3 linked regions of the Lonchura striata genome follow. The protein of the gene in region 2 binds, or shares a complex with, the protein of the main gene of each other region. Links are inferred from orthologs where the notes say so. Each region holds a gene or a part of one and is shown on either strand. Other genes may lie near its edges.

Evidence for each region.
Region 1: the proteins of INHBA (region 2) and FST are in contact, whole or in part, in a crystal structure (PDB 2P6A), measured with the Homo sapiens proteins. The link is inferred for Lonchura striata from reciprocal best matches to the Homo sapiens genes INHBA and FST. Residues at the interface, in NP_002183.1 of Homo sapiens: Asp315, Phe327, Asp337, Trp338, Ile340, Ala341, Gly344, Tyr345, His346, Gly360, Thr361, Gly363, Phe368, Thr371, Arg397, Ser400, Leu402, Tyr404, Asp405, Asp406, Gly407, Gln408, Asn409, Ile410, Ile411, Lys412; in NP_037541.1 of Homo sapiens: Trp33, Arg35, Val44, Leu45, Arg60, Phe76, Met79, Asp135, Glu152, Pro154, Glu155, Val180, Val181, Asp182, Gln183, Tyr188, Val190, Arg221, Thr224, Cys225, Arg229, Ser230, Ile231, Gly232, Leu233, Glu328.
Region 3: the proteins of INHBA (region 2) and ACVR2A are in contact, whole or in part, in a crystal structure (PDB 7U5P), measured with the Homo sapiens proteins. The link is inferred for Lonchura striata from reciprocal best matches to the Homo sapiens genes INHBA and ACVR2A. Residues at the interface, in NP_002183.1 of Homo sapiens: Ile340, Ala341, Pro342, His346, Arg397, Pro398, Met399, Ser400, Met401, Leu402, Tyr404, Asn409, Ile410, Ile411, Lys412, Asp414, Glu421; in NP_001265508.1 of Homo sapiens: Asn36, Asp53, Lys56, Phe61, Thr63, Lys65, Val74, Lys75, Cys78, Trp79, Leu80, Asp81, Asp82, Ile83, Asn84, Val100, Phe102.

The regions. Positions count from the first base shown.
Region 1 is NC_134642.1:32,791,965-32,799,105, forward strand, and holds the start of FST (follistatin), read right to left. Parts: upstream 3,023-7,141; 5' UTR 2,946-3,022; coding exon 2,864-2,945; intron 810-2,863; coding exon 618-809; intron 220-617; coding exon 1-219. UniProt on the Homo sapiens protein: Multifunctional regulatory protein whose primary function is to antagonize members of the transforming growth factor beta (TGF-beta) superfamily including activin, myostatin, GDF11 or bone morphogenetic proteins (BMPs).
Region 2 is NC_134603.1:104,093,193-104,100,832, forward strand, and holds the start of INHBA (inhibin beta A chain), read right to left. Parts: upstream 3,012-7,640; coding exon 2,219-3,011; intron 1-2,218. UniProt on the Homo sapiens protein: Inhibins/activins are involved in regulating a number of diverse functions such as hypothalamic and pituitary hormone secretion, gonadal hormone secretion, germ cell development and maturation, erythroid differentiation, insulin secretion, nerve cell survival, embryonic axial development or bone growth, depending on their subunit composition.
Region 3 is NC_134610.1:2,547,063-2,553,963, forward strand, and holds the start of ACVR2A (activin receptor type-2A), read right to left. Parts: upstream 3,023-6,901; 5' UTR 1,323-3,022; coding exon 1,268-1,322; intron 1-1,267. UniProt on the Homo sapiens protein: On ligand binding, forms a receptor complex consisting of two type II and two type I transmembrane serine/threonine kinases.

The DNA.
Region 1 (7,141 bases), on a different chromosome or scaffold from region 2:
TTTTGCATTTGCCCTGATACTGGACTTCAAGTTCAGGCTGTTCTTTACATCTGGCTTTGAGAAGGGCGCACTCGTTCCTGTAGGTTTTCCCATCTAAGCCACACACGGGACCCTTCCAAGTGATATTAGAGCAATCCGGAGCACAAACACACCGAGGTTTGTTCTTCTTGTTCATTTTACATTTCTTCCCGGGTCCACAGTCCACATTCTCGCATGTTTCTGATGGAAGGAAAGAGGCACCACTTTAGTACCAAGTGTGCAGAAGAGACCTGGTGTCAAAACTGCTTAAAGAAAGAAAGATACCGTGAACCCAGAGCACAGAGCAAAAACACCGTTCCCTCCCGTTCCAGGACACGCCGCTGGAGGTAAATTCCCTCCCGCCAGTGAAGGCAGGGGGGAGAGAGGGTCTCTCCCATCCTCCTTGTGAAGTGCAAGGCGGCAGGCAGAAATGGGGGGTCCCCCCCCACGATCCCGGGGCTGGTACGAGACGTCCCTCAAAATCCCGACGAGGAAGGAAGCAAGAGAACAGGGCTGCCCCCCCACAACTCCCTCCCCGCTCCTCCTCCCCCTGCCGGAGCCGCTCCTCAGCGGGGAGCAGCTCGCCAGCACCCCCTCACCTTTGCATGGGATGCAGTTTGGGGCTCCCCCATTAAAAATCATCCACTTAAAAAGCGTATTGTCGTTGACGTCCTCCGCCGTCCACGACGTGGTCAGGCGGCCGCTCTTGCAGCACTCCTCCTTGCTGAGGTCGGTTTTGTAGAGGACCTGGCAGCGCCCGTTCCGCGCCTGGCGGAGCCAGCAGTTCCCAGCTGTGGGGCGGGGGGCGGGGGGGACACCCAGACGGATCAGTGGCGGCCACCAATGACCCAGACACAGCACGTGCGCCTTGCCGTGACTTTTACTAGACTGCTTCCTTTTATTTGTCCCGTTTCATAACCCGCAGCTACTACGGCCCATTTGGAAGCGCAGTTTAAAAAACAAACAAACCCTCCCCCCCCCCCACCAAAACCCAACCGAACAAAAAAATCCTCCCTAAAACCACAAAAGAACTAAAAAACCCAAACCAAGAAAACAAAACAAAGTCCAAAACAAAACAAAACAAAATGAACGAAAGAGAAGACCGAACCAAAACAGAGCTAGAGTTTTTGGAGGTATTTATTCCATATGTAGAGCAGAAGGAGCACTGCCGACACGTGACAGAGGCTTGAAAAGGATGTGCATTTAAAAGGGAATAAAAAGAAAATCGCGCTTGCAAATTCCTTCCTCCTCCCCCTGCCCTCTCCTCCTCACCGCGGCTGCACAACAGCATTGTTTTAGTGCTGCACAGTTTCACTCCCAGCCCATTTTGCAATCTGCACGAATTTGGAACATTTGCTGTTAGCGAAGTCTTTCGAAATCGCCACATTTTGCTGTTTCTATTAACAAATGTCTCCTTCACTAACATAATTCAGCAGAGTTCCAAAAAAAAAAAAGTGGGCAAAGTACATAAAATACAAGGACACTTATAGTAGGAGGTCCCTATAGAGTTTTAAAAATCGATCAAGCTGGCAAAGTTATAGGTTCCATCTCTCCTGCAAACATTTCAGAGGAAAGTACACTGTCCTTACACAGGATAGAGTGGGTTTTCTTGGGGTTATTTTTTGTCTTCCTCCCCCCCCCCCCCCCCCCCGCCCCCCCGCCCCCCCCCGTATCCCTGTTATTTGTGGAGTCCAGCCAAGAACATTGGTCCAAGCAACTCCCCCTTTTTTAGCTGAAGCATTTTAGTTGAGATGGGTCTCCCGTGAATAACCAATGTGACTTCTCCAGCAACTCAATACCAATTGACTCTCCCGCTAATCCAGCCAGGGCTCGATCCTTCCTCCTTACTCCGATAGGAATGTACCGCAGCGCGGGGTGAGGATCGGCCACAGCAGAGATGTTGCTGAGCGCGGGGGAAGACACCCCCCCCCCCCCCCCCACCCCGCTAAAAATCATTAAATCATTGAACAAACAATGCCCTTATTAAAAAAATAAAAAGTTTTATGTCTTACAGTTGGCTAGGTTAGATTAATTATCGGTACTGGGGAAGAGAAAAAGAAAAGAAAGAATTATAAAAGAAGCAATGCCAAGACGTCCAGGTTGGAACATGGTCAAGAATAGGGGAAAAGCCCACAAACTAAAGATCAATATTCCCTTGTGTCGAAAGAGGGCTCTTAAGAGTTGTCAATATCAGATTCGGGTTTGTTTTGTTCACACGAGGAAAAAAAAAAAAAAAAAACCACACCAAAAAAAACCCCAAAAAACCACCACCAACTCACCAACTTATTTAAGCATACTCTTCAGTGCAGGAGAATTTACAACGTTAATATTTACTCAGACACACACTCAAAAAAAAAAAAAAAAAAAAAAAAGAGTAGGGAGGAGGAGAAAATCCCAATATTAAAGTCAATAAAATGACCACTTATTGGTTTCTAAAAATGTCAGATGTAATCCTGGGGTTCTCCATCACCACCTCTCCTTCAGTCAGTTAGGAGAAATAAAAATCTGAACTAAATTACCAACAAACTTCGTGCATTCATTCGGGAGCCGAGACTGGGAAAGTTCCCTCACGATGCTGCTCTTCATTCACGCTCCATAATAACAATAAAAAAACAAGAAATAGCCTATCTGTCCTCTGTTCCTTTGCTGAGCAGTGCGAAGATCCGATTAAAAAGGGATCTAAATGACACCTCTGCACCTCGCTACAAAGCCCATAGTTAACTTCTGTTCTGTTGGACCTTGGAGAGAGGCGTTTAACACCGCAGCAAACTAAACCCTGCCCGAAAGACGGAAAACATTAGTAATAATAAAGAAACATATGTGCGAATAAACAGTCTGGTCTTACCCTGCACTGTGTGATCTTCCATGAAGTGGCACAGAAACATCAGGATTAAGAGCATGCCCGGGTGGATTCTCTGATTTAACATCCTCAGTATAGCAGGGAGTGAGAGAGACGCAGAGACAGCGTGAGGGGGAGTAAGGAGAGGGAGCGAGCGCTAGCCAGCCTGCTTATGATCGCTCTATTGAATGAACGTCAGGCTCTGAATGCAGTCTCTCTTTAAATCTATACGGGGGTCCTAGCTGTCTGCGGTGGGCGGTCTCCTAATGTGTGTGTGTGTCGGGGGTGGGGAGATTTAAAAAGTTCAGTGTGAATCAGGTGACATTTCCCACCTTCTGGAAACCCTCTCCAATTATCCGCTCTAGGTGCACGCATACACAGGCGCGCACCCGCGCACCCTGAGCGGCGGAGCCGCCGGCGGGGGCAGCGGCGGGAGCGGCCCCGGCCCGGCCCGGCCCGGCCCGGCCCCGGCTGCAGCCCCCGCCGCGGAGCCGCCGCGGCCGCGCAAGCGCCACGGGAGGCTGGAGACCCGCGGGGGGTCGCGGCCGCCCCAGGGGCGCCCTGGCCCCTCCGGCGGGCTGGGGGTGCTGCCGGGGCGCGGAGCGGAGCCCGCCCGGAATCGGCTCCGCGGGCGTGGTCTCAGCGCGAGGTGGCTGCGGGGGATAACATCCCACTCCCTGCACCTCCGCCGGCCGGGCGGACAGATCGCTCGGCCCAAAGAAACCCCAAACCCCGATCGACTAGCCCCAAACCTGAAAAAAACCCAAACCCCTAAAAGACAGAACCGGCTAAAAGTTTAATACCTAGGGCCGTTCCCGGGTGATAGGCTTTTCATTGGGAGAGCCCGGGAGGACGAGACGGCAACGGGGGCGACGTAGGCGGTCTCCTTTCAGAAACAGAAAGATTGCAACATCGATAATGAACTTCTAGGGCACTAGTTTATTAAGCACAGTCTGGCATTATTCTCTCCTTAGAAAAGTTGGCGGTCTCTCATTTATAACATTTTTTGGCACCGCTGAATGAAACTGAGTAGGCGATATTTCCTTTTATACAAAACGATTACTTAACGGAAAATGGTATTGTTTATTCAAAAGCTGCCTTTTAAATTTCGATTCTTTCGCTTTTCTGAGCCACCAAAGCACAACAGACTGCGAAGTATGCAGACAGGAATGCCCGGACAGTGCCGGGTCAGGGGCCGGTGCGCCGCGGCCGCCCGCGCCCTCCGCCCGGCCTTCCCCATACCCCTCCTCCCCGCTCCCGCCCCCCCACCTCCCCCTCCCGACTGCCCCCTCCCCACAACTGCAAATAACTCAGTGATAACAGATTTTTTTCCACCAACTGCAGGAGATAGTGCTAATCTTTTAATAAAAGATCCCATTACAATGGGATCTGTCTGGACAGACTATAATAGATCCAGAAATACAGCCGTGCTAATATTAGAAGACAGTTGTTTGGGTGCCTCAGGCCGGGCCCTGGTCCCGCTTTGAAAGTGGGCATGAATCACAATGTCCCTCGGTACCACCTGCGGTCACACGCATTAAGGAGCAGACTGGTAAATGATTGACCTCGCTGCGGTTTTTTTTTTGGCTGTTTTTTTTTTTTTTTAAATTATTATTATGATCCTCGTCCTCCTCGTCCTGAGCATCGCCCGGGCATTTTAAGCACTTCAGAAGCTCCGGGACTCCACATCCTTTTTAATCTTTTCCCAGATTGGTGCCACTCTCCCCCTGCCCCCCGCCCCTGCTGCCGGAGCCGCGCTCATGCGGGGTTGCGTAGTGCCCTCTAACGGCGGCGGCGCGCAGCGGCAGCGCCCGCGCCCCGGCCCGAGCCGCCCCTGGCCGCGCCGGGTTCGCGTCCCGGGCAGCGCCGGCGCCCGGCCGCAAGGTGCTGCGGGGCCGCTCCGGGGCCGCTGTGCCCGCGGGCTGCGGGCACACCCGCTGCGCAGCTCGGGCGGCAGCACAGCTCCCGCCGGGGCAGCGCTGGTGCCGGGGCTGGTCCGGGAGGAGTCCCGCGGGAGGCTCGGAGGGATCCCGGCGGTGGCGCGGGGCGCGCTGGCGGCTGCTCCCGAGCTCGGCTGGGCTCGGCCCGGCACTGCACGGCTGCCCGGAGGGCTGCGGGGTCAGGCTCACCTTCCCGTGTTCCGTTTGTGTATGTTTTTTAGTAATTGGCCAATACAGTGTTTATCCTGAAAATGTTTTCAGTTATAGAGGGGCGTTTTCAGGCCGTGTTCCTGGAAATGAAACGCAGAATGGGTCGATAAGGTTTACACATGTGCTTTATGCATGCATCATCGGGAGATCAATATGATTGCCCTGGTATGGAGATTTGTATCACACCTGTTCTCTGACATCACTTAGAAACAGCTGCTGTTTCTTTTACTGTTTCCCCCCCCCCCTTTTTTTTTTTTTAATTTTATTTTTCTTTTTTAAAATGCTAGATACTGGATTTGTGAGTAAGAACATGTCAGGGACATATTATGTAATCAGACATGATTTCTTCTTTCTCACTATGTGTGCTGCTCTTTATAACTCCCCCACCCCTTTCTGCTTTGCCAACAATCATATTTAAATTACCAAAAAAACAATAGCGTCGATCTGTAACTGAACTGTCAGGCAGCACAAGAAAAGAGTGTTGTTTTCAGTCTGACAGGTTTCACAACTTTTTTCTACCAAGAAATGTATGCATTTTAATATAGGCTTTTGGACGTGAATCCAATCTTTGCAGCTGGCCCTGATCTTAGAATAATAGAGCTTTTAAAAAAAACCCTTATATACTTACATCTCAGACTTTCAGAAAGTTCAGATTTGGTTCTCAATTTACATATTTATGTGTTCTAATATAGCAATAGCCATAGCTACAGCTACAGCAAACTCCATAATACAAAATATTAAGTGGCTGGCCTCTGAAAAAAATAGCAGCAAAATATGAAGAAGGAGGAAAAGTAATCAGCAAGTTACCTTGTCAATATGTGCTATTAATTCACACACAGATGCAGACACACACATACATACACATATGTGGAATATTAACCTTGTGATGTCAATATTAACTATGTGATGTACTAGTATTGATATTACCTTTTACGCCCTTCCCCTCACTCTGTTGCCTAACAGAAGAGTGGTTGCTGGTATCAGGAGTGGACCACCTAGGAACCCCCTCTTTGATAAGGAACATGTTTGCAATAAAATTTTTTAGGTTGTGGATAGGACTCCATGCCAAAACCGATTATTTGGAAGAGATATGGATTTTGATCAAGCGCAAATGGGAAGGTCTATCCTGGCAATCTAACATTCAAGGGAGCTAAAAAAGACTCAGACACCCTCCTGTGGTCCTGGATGCATGTATGCATCATCCCATGCAGTTTCTCACACAACTAGCCTCTCCCACTCAAATAAAGGTAGAACGTCCTCTTCTGGTAGAAGACTTGTTACCTTGCTTTGTTCCCATCTAATTGCACTGATTATCACAAAAAGAAGGGCCTGTTTCTGAAAAACTGCAATTTCATGTAGGCTCTCCTCATTTGCATCTTAGATACTAGACTGAAGGACTTTTCTGAGTACCATTGTATTGTACTATTTGAAAAGCTTTCCCTCCACTTTTTCTTTTTAAGTATGGGAGAATAATTACAGACCTTAAATAACTTTTCTGTAGAAATTTCATGTGCTATTTCTTGGAAAAATGTAGCATAAAAAATTGTATTACAAAATTTGATTTCTTGATTTGACCAAGACCTTTTGTGAAAAACAAGTAAGTTCCTGATGAAACTAAGCTCTAAAATATGTGAGCTGAATTTTAATATCAAGTATTGGCTATGTGTGCTATTCCACTGAAATTGTTCCTGCACATCAGTGAGACTATTAAACATAGAACTTGCAGTGCATGCTCTTGGGGAGTGTTGTGCTTATCGGATGAATACAGAGATGCTGAACAGTTGTTTTTTCTTTTTTTATTAAATTGACCCAAGAGGTTATGGTGGGCAATGGACTGGATAAAGAGGTAGTAGGGAACTTACCTAATAAATAACACTGGTAAAACTGTTCATTCTGGTTCACACTGCAGAAAGGTCATGTAGGCAGGTGTCATTCATGTTTTCGGTCAAATAATATTGACATATATGTGATATGAGCCAAACTGACCCCTTCCTTACCTCCCTTTGGTGGTTCAGGAAGTAGTAACAGAAATGTGTATCCCCTAACAGTTTGAAAGATACCTACCTCTTACTGGAAGTACAAACATGACAATGTCCAAAGACATTCTCTTGTCTTGTGCTGGCAGTACCACAGA
Region 2 (7,640 bases):
TAAGTTGTTGCAGCATTGGCACCTGTAAAATGTGGTAGATCCTCTGATGTTAGCAAGTCACTAGATGAATGGCTGTAGAAGAAAAATATGCTTGAGTAATCTGAAGTTACTCCACAGAGTGGATTTATCATTTCCATTATAAGCCCAAACCAGAGCTCAGTTTTTAGGTTGCCAATAGTCCCTCCCTTGTCCCAAAACAAAGAGGTATGGAAAGGTAGCAGGTATGGAAAAAATGAGCAGAGCAGCCCTCCTGCCTGGGCTTCCAGGACCATCTTAGTAGGAAGGAAGACGACTGTGGCAGGGAGGAGAAGGCATGAGAGAACGCAGTGGATGCCCCTGTCCTGCAGCTCCATAGCGTAAGTCCTCTCCAAGTAATTTGTCAGCAACAGTAGTTGAACGCTATGTAAATCAAGCTGAGTGACAGAGCTGGTGGCTGGTGGCGGGATGATTGGCCGGTGTGTGGGCAATGGCACGATTTCTGCTGCTCACGTGACCACGAGAGCCAATGGCTTCGGCAGCCGCCGCTGAGGGTACTGTACAGAGCAGGCATATATCAAATTCCAGATTCCTTTGTGTCAGAGCTCAGGAGAGACAATAATGTGTTTACAAATTATTGCGACGCACACAGTGAAGAGAAACCACTGTTCGTGCCATATGTGTTCCACTGTGCTCAGAGCGAGCTGCTGAAAACCAGGTGGGGAATCCGACTCATCGATAGCTTAGAGGTTTTCTTGCTTTTATAAATTCATTTCTAAACTAATGTTGAGCTACTCCTGCTTCTAATGACCTCTGGCATTGACATCTTCTCCCTGCTTTCTGAAGTGGAGGAGATAGAAAATCTGAAAAGCCTGAGCTCTCATGCTGAAAGAACTGATAATATGTATATTGACAAAGACTCCAAAAGCAAGGGCTCCTTGTACAGTTGGAAATCAGACAGCCAGCAGGAATGTCTGCACTTACAAGCATGCACACTTCTTGTGCATGGCTTCCCTGCAATCAGAACATCTGAGTCAATAGGTTTTCAGGACTGGAAACTCTGAGTGTTGTCTTAATTGTTTATACTGCTGCAGCAAACTTTTAAACAAAAATGCTTGGAGTTCCTTTGCATACTTTGCCTACCATATGCTGTACCAAACAAAACAATGACATTCTTTTAAAACCGTCTTGGCAACAGGAAAAATGCTTTGGCTAGACAGCATCATAAAAAGTTGCTCTTAGTTAGATGATAGACTTATTGCAAGTAGCTGCTATTGATGTGTGCACTAGTATACCCACATACACTAACAGATTTATGTGCAGATACACATATGTTGAATTAAAATGGGTTCTGGTCCTATTCATGTAGGAACAAGACAGCAAAGTACAACTTTAGAGTTGTTTCCTATGGGCAGTTTATGTTAGCCTAAAGACATTACTTACTAAATACATATATTCTGAGCTCTTGCTGCCTAAGAGTTACGGGGAAAAGAACTGTAAAAGAGTTCAAAATACACTCTACCAAGGTTGCATTTTTGGCAGGAGTGTTTTAGAAGCAGAATCTTTTTTCCAGTATGCAGAAGTCTGCATTACAAATTGGATCAGCTACAGCAACTTGTCCAGTTCTATTGAAGTCATCTGACAGTCCCTGCAACTCTTTATTGCCAAAGATGCTGTGTTAAATTAAAAAAAAAAAAAGACAAAAAAATGAGGGAAAAAGCCCACAAAAAAGCCATCTCACTTCTAAAACTTAAAGCTGCTTCATCTGATTTTATAACTTCCACTATAATTTTTACATGAAAGGGCTGTTTGTAAAGTAGTTTGCAGTTCACTTTCTGTCTTCATAAATTCCCCAGAAGGCTGCAGTCTTTTTTCTTTTGCCATCAACTCTGCAATCCAGCCCTATACTGCAAGTTCCCTCGATTTACAGGCAGAGTTTGGAGGACCCTGCTGCAGCCTGACTTTATGTTCAAGATTGGTTAGAGAGCTTCCTCCCTGTGTGACTGACTGTGCTTAGCAAGTGTAATCTGTAGCCAAGACTAAGTCAGAAAAATCAAATTCCTTCAGAGTCCTACCCCCCCATCCCACTCCTCCTTCTCCCTTCCCCCAGGTTTCATCCTACAACCTCACAGAAAACATTATTGCTGAGAAAAAGAAAATAAGTTATTGCAGTTTTGGCAGAAAGGATATTTTTCAGTTTGGGCACAAAGAATATTTTACATTATTTTTTTTAAGCACTCACCTGATTCTGCAAAAGTGATGATTTCTGAGGTTTGCTCCACAACTTCATTCATTTCGGCTCTTCTTCCAACATCATCCTCTATTTCCACATAACCATCCTCTCCCACCTTTCCCACGTGGAGTTTTTTGATGGCATTTAAAAGTGCTGCCTTGGGCACTGGCTGGGTGATATTAGGTCTGTCCCTCAAGTGCAACATGTTCAGTATGTGCTTCTTTACTGCTTCCACCATCTCAGGCTGTGAGCTGGGCACATCCTTTGAGAGCGTGGCAAGGGCACATGATGGACAGTCAGTGACTGAACTGTGCCCCTCGGATCCTGGGGTTGGGGAACTCCTCACTATAATCCAGCAAAGCACCAACAGAAATCCTCTCTTCCAAAGCAAAGGCATCCTGGCAGCAAAAGTTGTTGTGATTCCCTTTTTAAAAGGCCCTGCTTTTCCTCCCCCTTCACGAACAGTTTTTTTGGGGGCTGGTTTAGTTTGTTTGTTTGTTTGTTTGTTTTTCCTTCTCTTCAGCAAATTCTCTGGAACAAGAACCAAAAGTTTTCTGTGAAGTTTTGTTTGCAGGTTCCCACTCTGAATGCAATAAGTGCTGTAGATGTTTGTGGCTGTCAGGGAGAAGAGTTCTGACTCTGTCTCAGAGTAGGAGAGAGACACAGAGAGAGGGAGAGAGAGAGAGAGGACGGATTGGCCTAAAGTGAGTGAGTGAATGAGAGAGGGAGGGAGTTTTGTCTGTGAGTAAAGGCTATGATTAGGAAGGGGGAGGAACAGGCAGGCTGGCTTCCTTATGCTCATTGCTCCCCTAACACACACCTCTCTTCAAATATCACTACTCGTGGTTCCTTCCCTCCCCCCTTTCTAAAATATCTTCTCATTCCTGTAAATTTAGTCTTTTTTTTTTCCTTTTTTTTTTCCTTTCTGTTTGACCCCTCCCCCCCAGCTGTCATTCCCCCCCCCCCTTTTTTTTTTCCCTTTCTTTTTGTTTTGTTTTGTTTGTTTTATTCCTTCAACAGTATCACTGGCTTAACTAAACAGAGGAAACATGAATGAATGAAGAGAGTGAAATCTTTAACGATCACCTTGCTCTTGGTCCTGCCTGGTATTGTTAGGGATAGCAGGAGATGTTAAATAGCTTGTGAATGAGATGGGAATGAGGGCAGGGGCTCTGAGTATTTTGAACAGAACATTATTTTGCCTGGAGTAGAAGAAAAAAATCTTTTCTGCTCACTTCTAAATGCTGGGGGTTATCAACACTGGCAAAAGGTCTGACAAGCACAAAATAGCACTGTTGTTTGGAGGGTTTATAATACATGATACACTCCCCAGCTGCAAAATGCAGTCAGGCACTGAAAGCCTAAGCAGGAGCTGGTACATATATGTGACATGATATGGTAGTGCCATATAATAGCCCTACTTCTGTGCTAGTCTGTGCCTGGAAGTTCTTGGGTAGATATATTTAGGTTTGGGGTTAATCAAGCGATGCCTGAAAAATGCTTTGAATGTGAAAAGTGTTACATGTCATCTGGCCAAATCATACTTGCTTCTGACTCAGGCAAATCCCTCATCGATGCCAATAATAATTCTGTCTGAGTGAAGGCTGAGTAAGATCTTCTGCATTGGGTCCATTGTTATTAGAAGGCACTTATTACTTCATTCATTTAAATCTCAGAGAGCAATCATAATATTAGAATAGGACATTGGAAATTAAAAGAAATCTAAAGTACTACAAGAAGTTTAAGCCAGTGTTGGTAGCCCCTTGTCAGTTTATGCCAGGGAGGGCTTTGCTCTGCAGTGAGAAGGCATTCCCTGTGCCATTGCCATGGCTTCAGGTCGCCTTCACATTCTGTATCCCCTCCATTCTCTTCCTTACCCAGCAAAGCTGAAGTTTGCAAACTTGCTTACATTTGAATTTGATAGTGGAAAAATGACAACTATAACTATACATTTTGAGATTCTTCCTTTCAAGACATTATCTTGTACCAATTTTCTTAAAGCAGCTTCTTCTTTTTTAGCGTTTGCCCTCTTTCTTTTCATTCCTTTCATTCTCTCTCTCTACTACACCTGTCTTCTTAGATGGGCTTACCTCCTACCCAGCAAATATTCCAGCATATCTCAGCATATTACTGTCAACCATTGTATTTCACAGTGGAAAGGAATAATTTATAAATATAAGCATTGAAAGGTCTCTCATTTCCATGAGATGACTACAGGCACATGGGCTAAGAGACAGGCAAGGAATTATAGGCAGAGTAAATGAAACATACAGAAGTAATTGAACAATCAACCAAAGTCTTACAAATGTTATATACTGCTAGTCCTTTTCAATTAAGATCTTTTATAAGTCTTTTACTGTTATAAGGCATCCACAGTACCCCCTCATCTGTGTTTTACTGACCTCAGTTACTATACTGTTATATACTGTTACACTTACAGGTCTGTCAGCATTATAAACCCTGCAGCCATTCTTATAAACACATCTTTGTAACACAAACCTCACTATAATACATTGAATTTTCTTGGATCTTGTGAACAGACCAAAGTCTGTTGTAATTATATGAAGTCTGAAAGTCAGCTTGAAATAGAACTAAAAGTTTAATTGGATGAAAAAATAATTTCAGATGAAAATATGCATTCATGATTAGATGTACTAACAGATGACATAATTAAAGGAGTTATATATAGTTCTAATATAGCACCTATCCTAACAGTGTCTGATGAAAAGTAAGGGAGCGGCATAAATCAAAATAAAATGCAGATAAGTATGTCTGGGTTCTTGCTGTGGGGTATATGTTGCTTGCCATATACTACAGGTACAGTTATCTCATACAATCTCTTTTACATAGAGGTATAGCATATTTTACTTGCATGCCATGATGATGACAGATTTAATGCTAAAGCATAACTTTCTAAAAACCACTGTTTTCTAAAAGAGAGTCTTCCAATACCGCTGATACATGGTTTATTTGTACTTACATGTATATACATATACGTACAAAAATACATACAGAAATGTGTTTGAATACATACAGAAATGTTGGTTCAGACTCTTTCTTCAAATTACCTGAGCTGCAAAGTTCTGCATATGCATTCATTCAATGTAACCCTAACAGTATGCAACAGCATGCACAGGAATTAAAAGTTTCAGTTCGAAAGGAAAAAAGCTGATTGAAAGTTTTACCTCTCTAGTCCTGACTCTCAGAAGGAGACTGCTGTATTGTGCTTTAAGAACTGCTGAAGTTCCTCTTTGTGGTACTCATAATGCGAAGCTTTATACTGTACTTCTCGTGTGTACACATCACATATAACGTCTGTCAAAAGTGGGCCGGATCACTGTGCTGGATTGGTTAATCCTGTTACATCAGCAATTGACTGTTTTTCCTGTATGAGACATACTTCTGGTAATTAATTATCTAATGGAAACTCCTTATTCTCTAGCATGACAAAATATCTGTATCCATTTAAAGACTAGAACTTAAAATCAGACAAAGCAAACATTATGAGTCAGGAAGATGCACTCCAACTTGTTGAATTGCATAGCTAGATATTATTAGATGTAGATAGCACTGTTCTAGTTCAAATACAGTATTTGCCAGATACTTAATTACTACTTTGCAAATTGTTTTCTTCTTTGTACATACTTGAGGATATACCAGATAATCTTTCTGCAAATTTGGATTTTTTTCAAATTCAGGAAAATGCATTTGAGTAAGAATCCTTTGGCTTTGGATGATTTTTTTTTTTTTTTTAATTTCAGTCTCTGAATAAATATGTCCTTCTGTTTAAATTAGGGATCCCTTTAAAGCTCTTTAAAAAATGAATCATATTGCTCCTGTCCAATTCTCCTGGCTCCTTGACGTGCAGATTGCATCACACTATTAAAAACTGTTTAGATATCTAAAAATAAACTACAATGAATGACAGTTCACTTTTTTTTTTTTTTTTTGCAAGTGTGGTATTAACACTTGTGGAATAAAATAAATGGCAATTTTAATTTCAATTTACATTAATGAAAATCAGAAATAACTATGCCAATTAGGCAGTACAGAAGTAATATATAAAAGGTCAAAAGTAAATCCAAAATCCATCTCCTTTCTTAAACACATATAATAACTGGCTTTATGTGGTACCGTTTATGACAAATGGCATGATCATGCAGTCTTTACTCATTCATAACACCCACTGATTACCAGAAAATCCCCATCCCTCAGATTTTTTTTTTTTTTGCCTGAATTGTACTTATAATTATATTTTTTATGTCCTCTTGGTATTGTAACTTTGATTTATCTTGGAATATGGCTGATCTGCATCAAAGAAAGATTTCAAGCTTTCAATTTACAGTGATACCAGGGAGTCCTTATAGCAGTGTTGATCCCAACTGGTGTGTGTGCTGTATTCACACAACAGCTTTGGCAGAATGAGAAAAAAATCAGAAGTTAATGGGAAACATATGACCAGATAGATTGCTTTGTTTCCCATTTTTAATACGCATATAATAAGTGAAACAGGTTGCAGTAGCTTTTCTGCAATCTGAGTTTGGTGGTTCCAGTTGCTACAAAGAACAACACTTCTTTTTTTTTTATTTTTTTTTTTTTCTGGTTTTGTTGTTGTTGTTGTTGTTGTTGTTGTTGTTGTTTCACCCCTCCTTTCTTTTTCCTCAGGGATAGTGAGACACTTGCTTCAAGAAACAGATAATGAGCACGTATATACCCAGTTAGTCTCAGGACTTATTTTTCGTGGGGATCCTAAACCCAGGTTTTGCCAAACGACTTTTCCACCTTGCAGTCCTGCTTTTCTCAGGAGCAGGCTGAATTTGGTTTTAACTGACATCCTAAAACTCTTGGAAATTTGTTGCGTACTGGTAGTGCAGTGCCTGTTGCAATTTGTCAGCGGACATATTCTCAGCAAGGGACCCCACATTGCAGTGCTTTTACGGAGGAGATTCGGCCCGGGACTGCCGGAGCTATCTTCTCCTCGCAGTCAGAGCGGTGCGGTGCCGGCTGTGACCGCCGCTCCCCTCCTGGGGCAGCGACCAGCCGGGACCCAGCTTCTCCCACCGCGGCCGCGGGGCAGAGGATTCCCGGGGAGAAGTGTGTGGTCCGTGACAGAACGAGAAAGCTACCGAGTGAAGCACAGCAAGCACGTATGTGATTTATAGCGCAGGATAAGTTCTGAAAGGAGTTTAGGAGAAGTGAAAAGCATTATTCATTTCAGAGCATGCTCCTTATTGCCCCGGGGAGTTTGTGTATAGCTTTACCAAAGGCCTAATGAAAGCTTTACTCGGTGACTAATTTTTTTTCACACCTATTTCTCTCTTTATAAATATTTTTCTCCCCATCTCCCCACCCCCCCGCGCCGCACTCCTTTTCATTTTGTTGAACACAGCAACACCTGCTGGCAGTGGTCCGGGAGTACTGCTGGAAAGAC
Region 3 (6,901 bases), on a different chromosome or scaffold from region 2:
TTTCAAAAGAAGAATAAAAATTAACCATCCCGAACACCCTTCTGGCTGTCCTTAAGCCGCTGTGCCGTTTCCCTGGTTAGCACAGGCAGGGTTTTTGGGTTTCTCCTGGCAGCGCTCGCCATTTCACAGCACATTTAGCGCACACAGTGCGGATCGATAGCACTACAGACACAAGACGAGACTTATCCATTTACTAACCACAGCAAAACGGCCTCTTCAGCAAAATCCTCCAACTCCATAGCGCTGGAAATTTAAAAGGCATCCTTACAGGGATCTCATTACTCCCTTCTCTCGGTCACACGGGGAGGCTGAGCACTTGTCTGCGAGCTTTTAGCCTGATAAACAAGTGTAGCTTTGCACACCCTGCAAGGATGCTAAAAACCCACCCAGAGCAATAAAGACACGCTCCGAATGCGGGCACAGAGCGCCAGGCTGGCTTGTGAAGCCGCGTTAGATCCTCACTCAGCTCCTAAGAGGGGTTTTTGTGAGACTGACGGAGCTCCAAGCACAAATGGACCAACAGTTGCCCAACCACTGGTTGCTGCCATAACAATTTTCCTCTTGGAAAAGCGTGGGGAAGTCCTCGCACCCCGCTCGCTTCCCAAGACTCAGCGCTGGCGTTTGAACCCCCAGTTCTGCTGTTTGACAGAAAAAATTAGTAGATTTTTTTCTTTTCTGCGCTAAAAGGCAGTGACATAACGAATACCAAAATACAAAGCGCTGCAAATGGTTCTTTAGAAACTGAAAGCCCGGCTTTTCACCCCAGTTCTGTTGGTACATCTCTACACGCACACACCCCTCGCTGTCACCAAAGGACGAGCCCAGCCTTTCAGAGCGGCACCTATTCTAAATTAATGAAGCATTAACGAAGGTCGCTATTCACCAGTGAATAGTCCGGGGTAAGAGAGATCAAACTGAAGGAAAGAGCATTTCAGCTGGGTAATTCTTATTTAAAACCAGCATCCAACACCGATAGCTGCGCTGCCAGGTTACTTATGTGACACTAGGTGGTTATATCTCCACATTTATTCCACACAATTGATCTGAAATCCAAGCGCTGCGAGCGTTTCAAGTGCTCACGTTATTTATATTTTTAAGAATAAAGACGAAAGCAGCTTCTGCCTTTACAGTCGCTGCCATCCACAAGTATTAGCCTCCTGAAAAAAAAATAAGATTTCTTCTCATTCATACAGAGCCAGCCCAAGTTTTCGAGTGCTGACCCCAAAGCCCTCAGTTTAAAGTGACAAATCCAGGAACATTCACTTACCTGATGAACAAGAGATAAGAAAAACAGCGAACGCCAACTTAGTAGCAGCTCCCATTTTCCAATGCTGTTAAAACATTTAAGTGACTTTAAGTATCCAGTTTTCTGGGTCCTGCAAGCTGGAAAAATCTCCCTTCTTGCTGAACCGTTATAAAGCAATTTATAGCAACATTTCTGCAGCAGGTAGTGTTCATAAAACACTAAAAATCAGGTTTGTTTAGACAGTGACGACCTCCCCAAGGCTCTTTCTAGACAGAATCCGGGTTGAGGGAGGGATAAATATATTTGGAACCGTGCTTCAAAACACACGTGTCATTTGGCTTCTGTACAAACGGTGGCAAAATTCAATTAATAAAAGTAATGCTACCAATCCACTTAAAAAAAAAAATAAAAACCAAAACAAAATAAGTCAACGATTAAGCTGCTGAACTCGACGAAGTCTCTGAGTCTCCAAATGTTTTCCACATCAGGCGCCGAGAAGGATCATCCCTCGTGGGTGCGAGTGTCGGGGGGTCGGATCGGGATCAGTCCAAGGCGATGTTTTCGTCCTGCCTCCCCCACTTCACACCTCCTGTAGTGTTTGGGAGAAAAGCAGCTCCATTCCAGTTCCAAACCTCGGGGCGAAGAGAGGAAGTTTTTTTTTTTTTGTCAGTTTGTAGATTAAAAACTACCTTAAAAACCAGCCACCAGCTACACGTGGGTTTTCTTGAATAAATGCTGAGGGATTTAGCGTAGCCCAGGAGAGGGAAAGGGGGGAAACAACAGTCTGGGAACAAACAAACCTTCGGGCTTCCCGGGAAGTGGCAAATCTCTAGTCCTTGGCCAGGCAGCGAGAGCAGTGCATCCCCCCTTCTTCACCGCCCTTCTCCAACACCAGCACTCCCGAATCCCAGCAAGATTTCCAATTCTTCTAGGAGATTTCCATCCCCTCCCCCCGCGAGAGGCTATATTTGGTATTTAAACACACAAGAGTGGCTGGGGAGGGGGGTACCAAAAAAAAATTAAAAAAAAAATGCAGTATCCAGGCGCTGGGAAGGAGGGTGGTATATTCTTTGTGGCAAATCCTTGCCGAGCGCCGTGCTTCCAGGAGAAATGGGCTTCTTTGGAAGGGAGGCGGCGGTGCCTCACGGCTGGGGCTGGATGGATCCCGGCTCCTCTCGCAGCTCACGGCTCCTGGATGGATCCACGCTCCTCTCCCTCCTCACGGACACATCTCCTCCTGGCCGCCCCGCCGCTGCTCACACACGGAGGCTCCACAAAATCCACCCCTCCGAGCTCAATCCAGTTCTTGCCTCTTTCTTTTTTTTTTTTTTTTTTTTTTTTCCTCCTCTTTTTTCTTTTCCTCCTAGGAGCGAGCAGCAGGAGACGGCAGGGGCGGGGAGGCAGAGCCTTCTCCCCGCGCCTCCCACACGGCGGAGCGGGGAGCGATCCCCTCCTCACCCTCTCCCCTAACTCTGACCCCGGCTCAACTCTCCGGTCTCCCGGGCGGCGGAGGCAGCGCGGCTCAGCCCAACTTTGTCCCTCCAGCAGTGCAGCTTAGGGGCTGGCGAGGCGAAAAGGCCGAGCCGGGGGATTCTCTCCGAGCGGCGGCGGCCGTGCCTAGAGCCCGCCGAGTGTCGCTGGCAGCGCGGAACAGCCCTCGGTGCCCTGCTGCCGCTGCTCCCCCGTGGTAATCTCATATCTACCCATTCACCCGTGTGGCGTGTGGAGAACCGGCCCAAGATGGCGGCGCCCGGGCGATTGTTTTTGTTTCCTCTCCGCCTCCCCCTCCTTCCCCACGGCCGCGGCGGCCGCGCCGGATTGACAGCCGCGCCACCCAATCACAACGCGGGGTTTGTGCCTTAGCCCCGCCCACCTCCTCTCGCCCCTCCTATCGGCGGCGGGGCGGAGCGCGCGCCCCCACGCTGGCCCCGCCCCCCGCGGCCCGCGCGCGCCGCCTCACGGGCGCGCTCCCGCCCGCCCTTCCCGCCCCTCAGGGCGCGGCCCCTCAGGCGCCCTCGCCCCGCTCCGCCCGACCCCGCTCCCCGCCGTCGCTAATTCCCCTTCGCGGGGCTCCTTCGAGGTGCTGGGGGGCTCCGGTGCTGGAGGCAAAACGCTGCCGGCGGCCACGCGGTGGGAGCTGGCTGGGAGGGGTCAGGACGGTGTAACACAGCGGGGGGAGGCTGGGGCCGCTGCCGCTGGGGTCAAATGTTGGCCTGGGCTTCTGCCTCATCGCCACCCCAGCCCCAAAATGTCCTGCAGGTAGTGCAGGTGAGAGCTACGGTGGTCTCTGTTTGTGGGCACGTTGCTCAGGAGCATCACTGCTGCTACAGCACAGAATCAGAGTCACAGAAGAGTTTGGGTTAAAAAGAACCTTTAAAAATCATTCATTTCCAACCCCCTGCCATGCTCAGGGACACCTTCCACCATCCCAGCTCCTCCAAGCCTTGTCCAGCCTGGCCTTGGGCACTGCCAGGGGTCCATGGACAGCCTCAGCTTCTCTGGGCACCCACCTTCAGAGGGAGCAATCCCTTCCCAATATCCCATCTAATTGAAACCTGCCCTTTTGTAAGCTGGAATCCATTCCAGTTGCCCTCCGTGCTGTTCTCTCCGTGCTTCTGCTGGGCTCCCCCGAGGTGCTGGAAGGCACCTGGAGTGTGTTTGTGTGTCCTGTCCAGGTCACTAATAGACTCTGCTCATTCACAAGTTTGGTGTCACTCCTTACAATTTTTTTTTTTTTTTTTCTTAGCTGGATGCCATAAAACACATCTCTTGTCTCTGGATGAAAAGGAAGACGTGGCTCTTAGATCTGGAGATCTCTGTGGGAAAACAGAAGAGCCTTAGTGCTGGCCTTTGATTTCTGTATTCTATAAAGATCTGTAGTTGCACAAGCAACAAGTGCCAAGTTCTCTGAGAGCTGGTTATCCTGTTCACCACCCCCAGGTGTTAGGTGCTCCCAGATTCCTTTCAAACTGTTTGGTGGCATGGACTAAGGGGTTTTTTTGGGATGTGAATAGCCGGTGTTACTAAACTGGAAGGAAAATTATCTGTATTTCACATATATGAATATACAGCCAAGTCAAGGCTTAGCCACACTGCTAAGCTGTAACTCACAGATCAGTAACTAGACCTGGTGCTCCACCAGGATCCAAGAAATTGATCTATTTCAGTTTTTTTTACAATGAGGTGTCTGCTTGAGTTCTTAATCAGACAACCTTGGTGTTTCTTTGTCGTGTCCCAACACTTCCCAACATTAAATTCATCCAGTGACCATATTTTTTTTATGATTTGAAATCTCCCAAACACAAAATAAGATGTCAGGGCTTGTGCACATCTAGAAGCATCAAGACATGTGGCAACACCTTTTATACCATCTTTTATCCAAGTATTTCAGAGTGATTTACAAGCGTTAATTAATGTTAAGTGTTACAACACTCCTACTTAATCTGTAGTTTTTAATATTCTTCAATAGCAGAATATTTAAACGTGACCTGTTCTGCAGGTTGTGTTTTCACTTGGCTCAGCTTCTTCAGAACACTGGTCATGTTGCCACATGAGTAGGAAATCATAGCTAAAAATATTGCTGGTGTGTGTGTGAATATATATTTATATATGTACTTCCCATTGCAAGGATTTGGTTTAGTTGTCATTGTTGTTGTTTTTTTTTTTCTTTTTTCTGAAAGAGTGTAAATTATGGTCCATATTTCTATTTTACTGGTTGTTTTTGATAAAAATAGAATAAATGTGTCACCTATATAAGAGAATTTGCCATGGCAAGGAGGTGTCTCTTACTCAAGGAGCTTATTATCCTTAGGCAGGGGTTGCTTTTTGCTGGCAGGATTCCTCTGGCAGAGCAAATCCTTCTGGCCATCCAGGAAATCTTGCAAACCCAGTCATTCTGTGGGGTTACTCTTATCAGCACCACAAGGAGAGCTCATTCCTTTTCCTCGCCACTTTTCAGCATGGCCAGGGGTCTGCAATGAGTGTTGGTGCTGGGATCAAGGAGATCTTCCAACCTGCACTGGGGATTTGCTCCCATTTAATTACACACACAAAAAAATTATATAGTTTGGTGTAGATATTCTACAGACCTTAGGAGAAATTGCCAACCGTTTTTATGAGGTACTTGATGCAAAATGCTTCAAGGGCTTTGGGCTAGGCTGTTGTTTTATTGCTAGTAAAAGGATGAGTTTTATCCCAAGCAGACACATTAAATGTCAGCACAGTTGCTGTCTCCTCTTTATTTTTAAATGTCTTTCTCATGTGAATTTTGGGAGTGTTTCCCTTTTTCACCTTTTGGCTCATCATTTCTATTTTCCTTTCGCCTCAAACTCCAGATCTTTTTTTTTCCCCCTTCCAAGATCAATCTGTCTGTGCATTTTTAATGAATCATTTACTGTGACATATGAGCACCGAAGACACAGTGTCAGGGACTTAAGCATCTGTGGAGAGCAGGAGGAGATGAAATGGATGTGATCTTAGCTTCAGTCTTTTGTTCATGTGGGATGGGACTTTGCCTAGAGGCAGCGCAAATATAACTTTTCCTTCTAGGGAGTAATGAGGAGAGTTAAAACCCAGCAATGTCTCATTTTTCTCTCTGGAGCACTGCTAGGAATTGAGGATTTCAGCTGTGCCTTTGCTATTCCCACTCTTAGCAGTGAATCAACACAAAACCCAACGTGGAAGGAGAGGAGTTTTTGTGCAGAACTCATTCAGAACACCTAGAGAAACATTTCTGAATGCAAAATGGGAAGCATGGTGTTGATAACATCAGGAGTGACACCAACAGAGAGAATCCTTGTCATTATCTCTTTCATCTTTCCTTGTGGTCTAAGTCATTCCCCCTTTGAAACTCTGGAGGAAGAGAAGACCCCATTCAGGCACTGTCCTTAAAAAACCAACAAAAAAAAAAAAAAAAAAAAAAAAAAAAAAAAAAAAAAAAAAGGACCAAAATGTCAAGAAATTAATCTGTCCCAGTGTTGCCCTCTTTACCAGCCAGCTTCAGTTTCCTTTGGGAAAAGGTGCTGGATGGCAGCCTAAATTATTTTATTTTAGAAAAGGTAAATAACTGCTTTAAAGTATTTTTGCTTTCATATGCATGATTTATGTGAAACTCACCATATTCCAAAAGAGTTTTAATACAGACTTTCAGTTCTGTTGCTGTGGACAAATAATAAAATTCCTACAAACTATTCATTATTTTGCACTTTTTACTCTGTTCCAAAACTCTTAAGATACTTCACAACTATATGAGTATCACAACTTGAAAACAAGAGAGAATGTGGACTTAATTAACCTTTTAAATGCTGCTGATGAACTGAAATGAAATCCAAAGCTTGCCTCTGCAATGCTTTTGGGTTGGGGCGACATAGCTGAGCATCAAAATGTTCTCCTTTAATGTTTCAAATCAAACTTTTAAATTTTAGATGCAGTTGCTGAATCCAGCTGAGCATCCACAAATTCAGATACTGGCTGAAATCCCAGCCCTGTTTTGGTGCAGGGCTAAAGTGGGATCATTTTATTCACATGAGCAGTGACAGGATTTGGACTGGATCACGTTCTCTAAAGCTGTTTTTGTAGCGAGTTTGTGTGCACAAATTCCCTTTTCAATTAAACACCTGGAGCCTATAGACCCTACGCCACCAGGGATTATTTTCC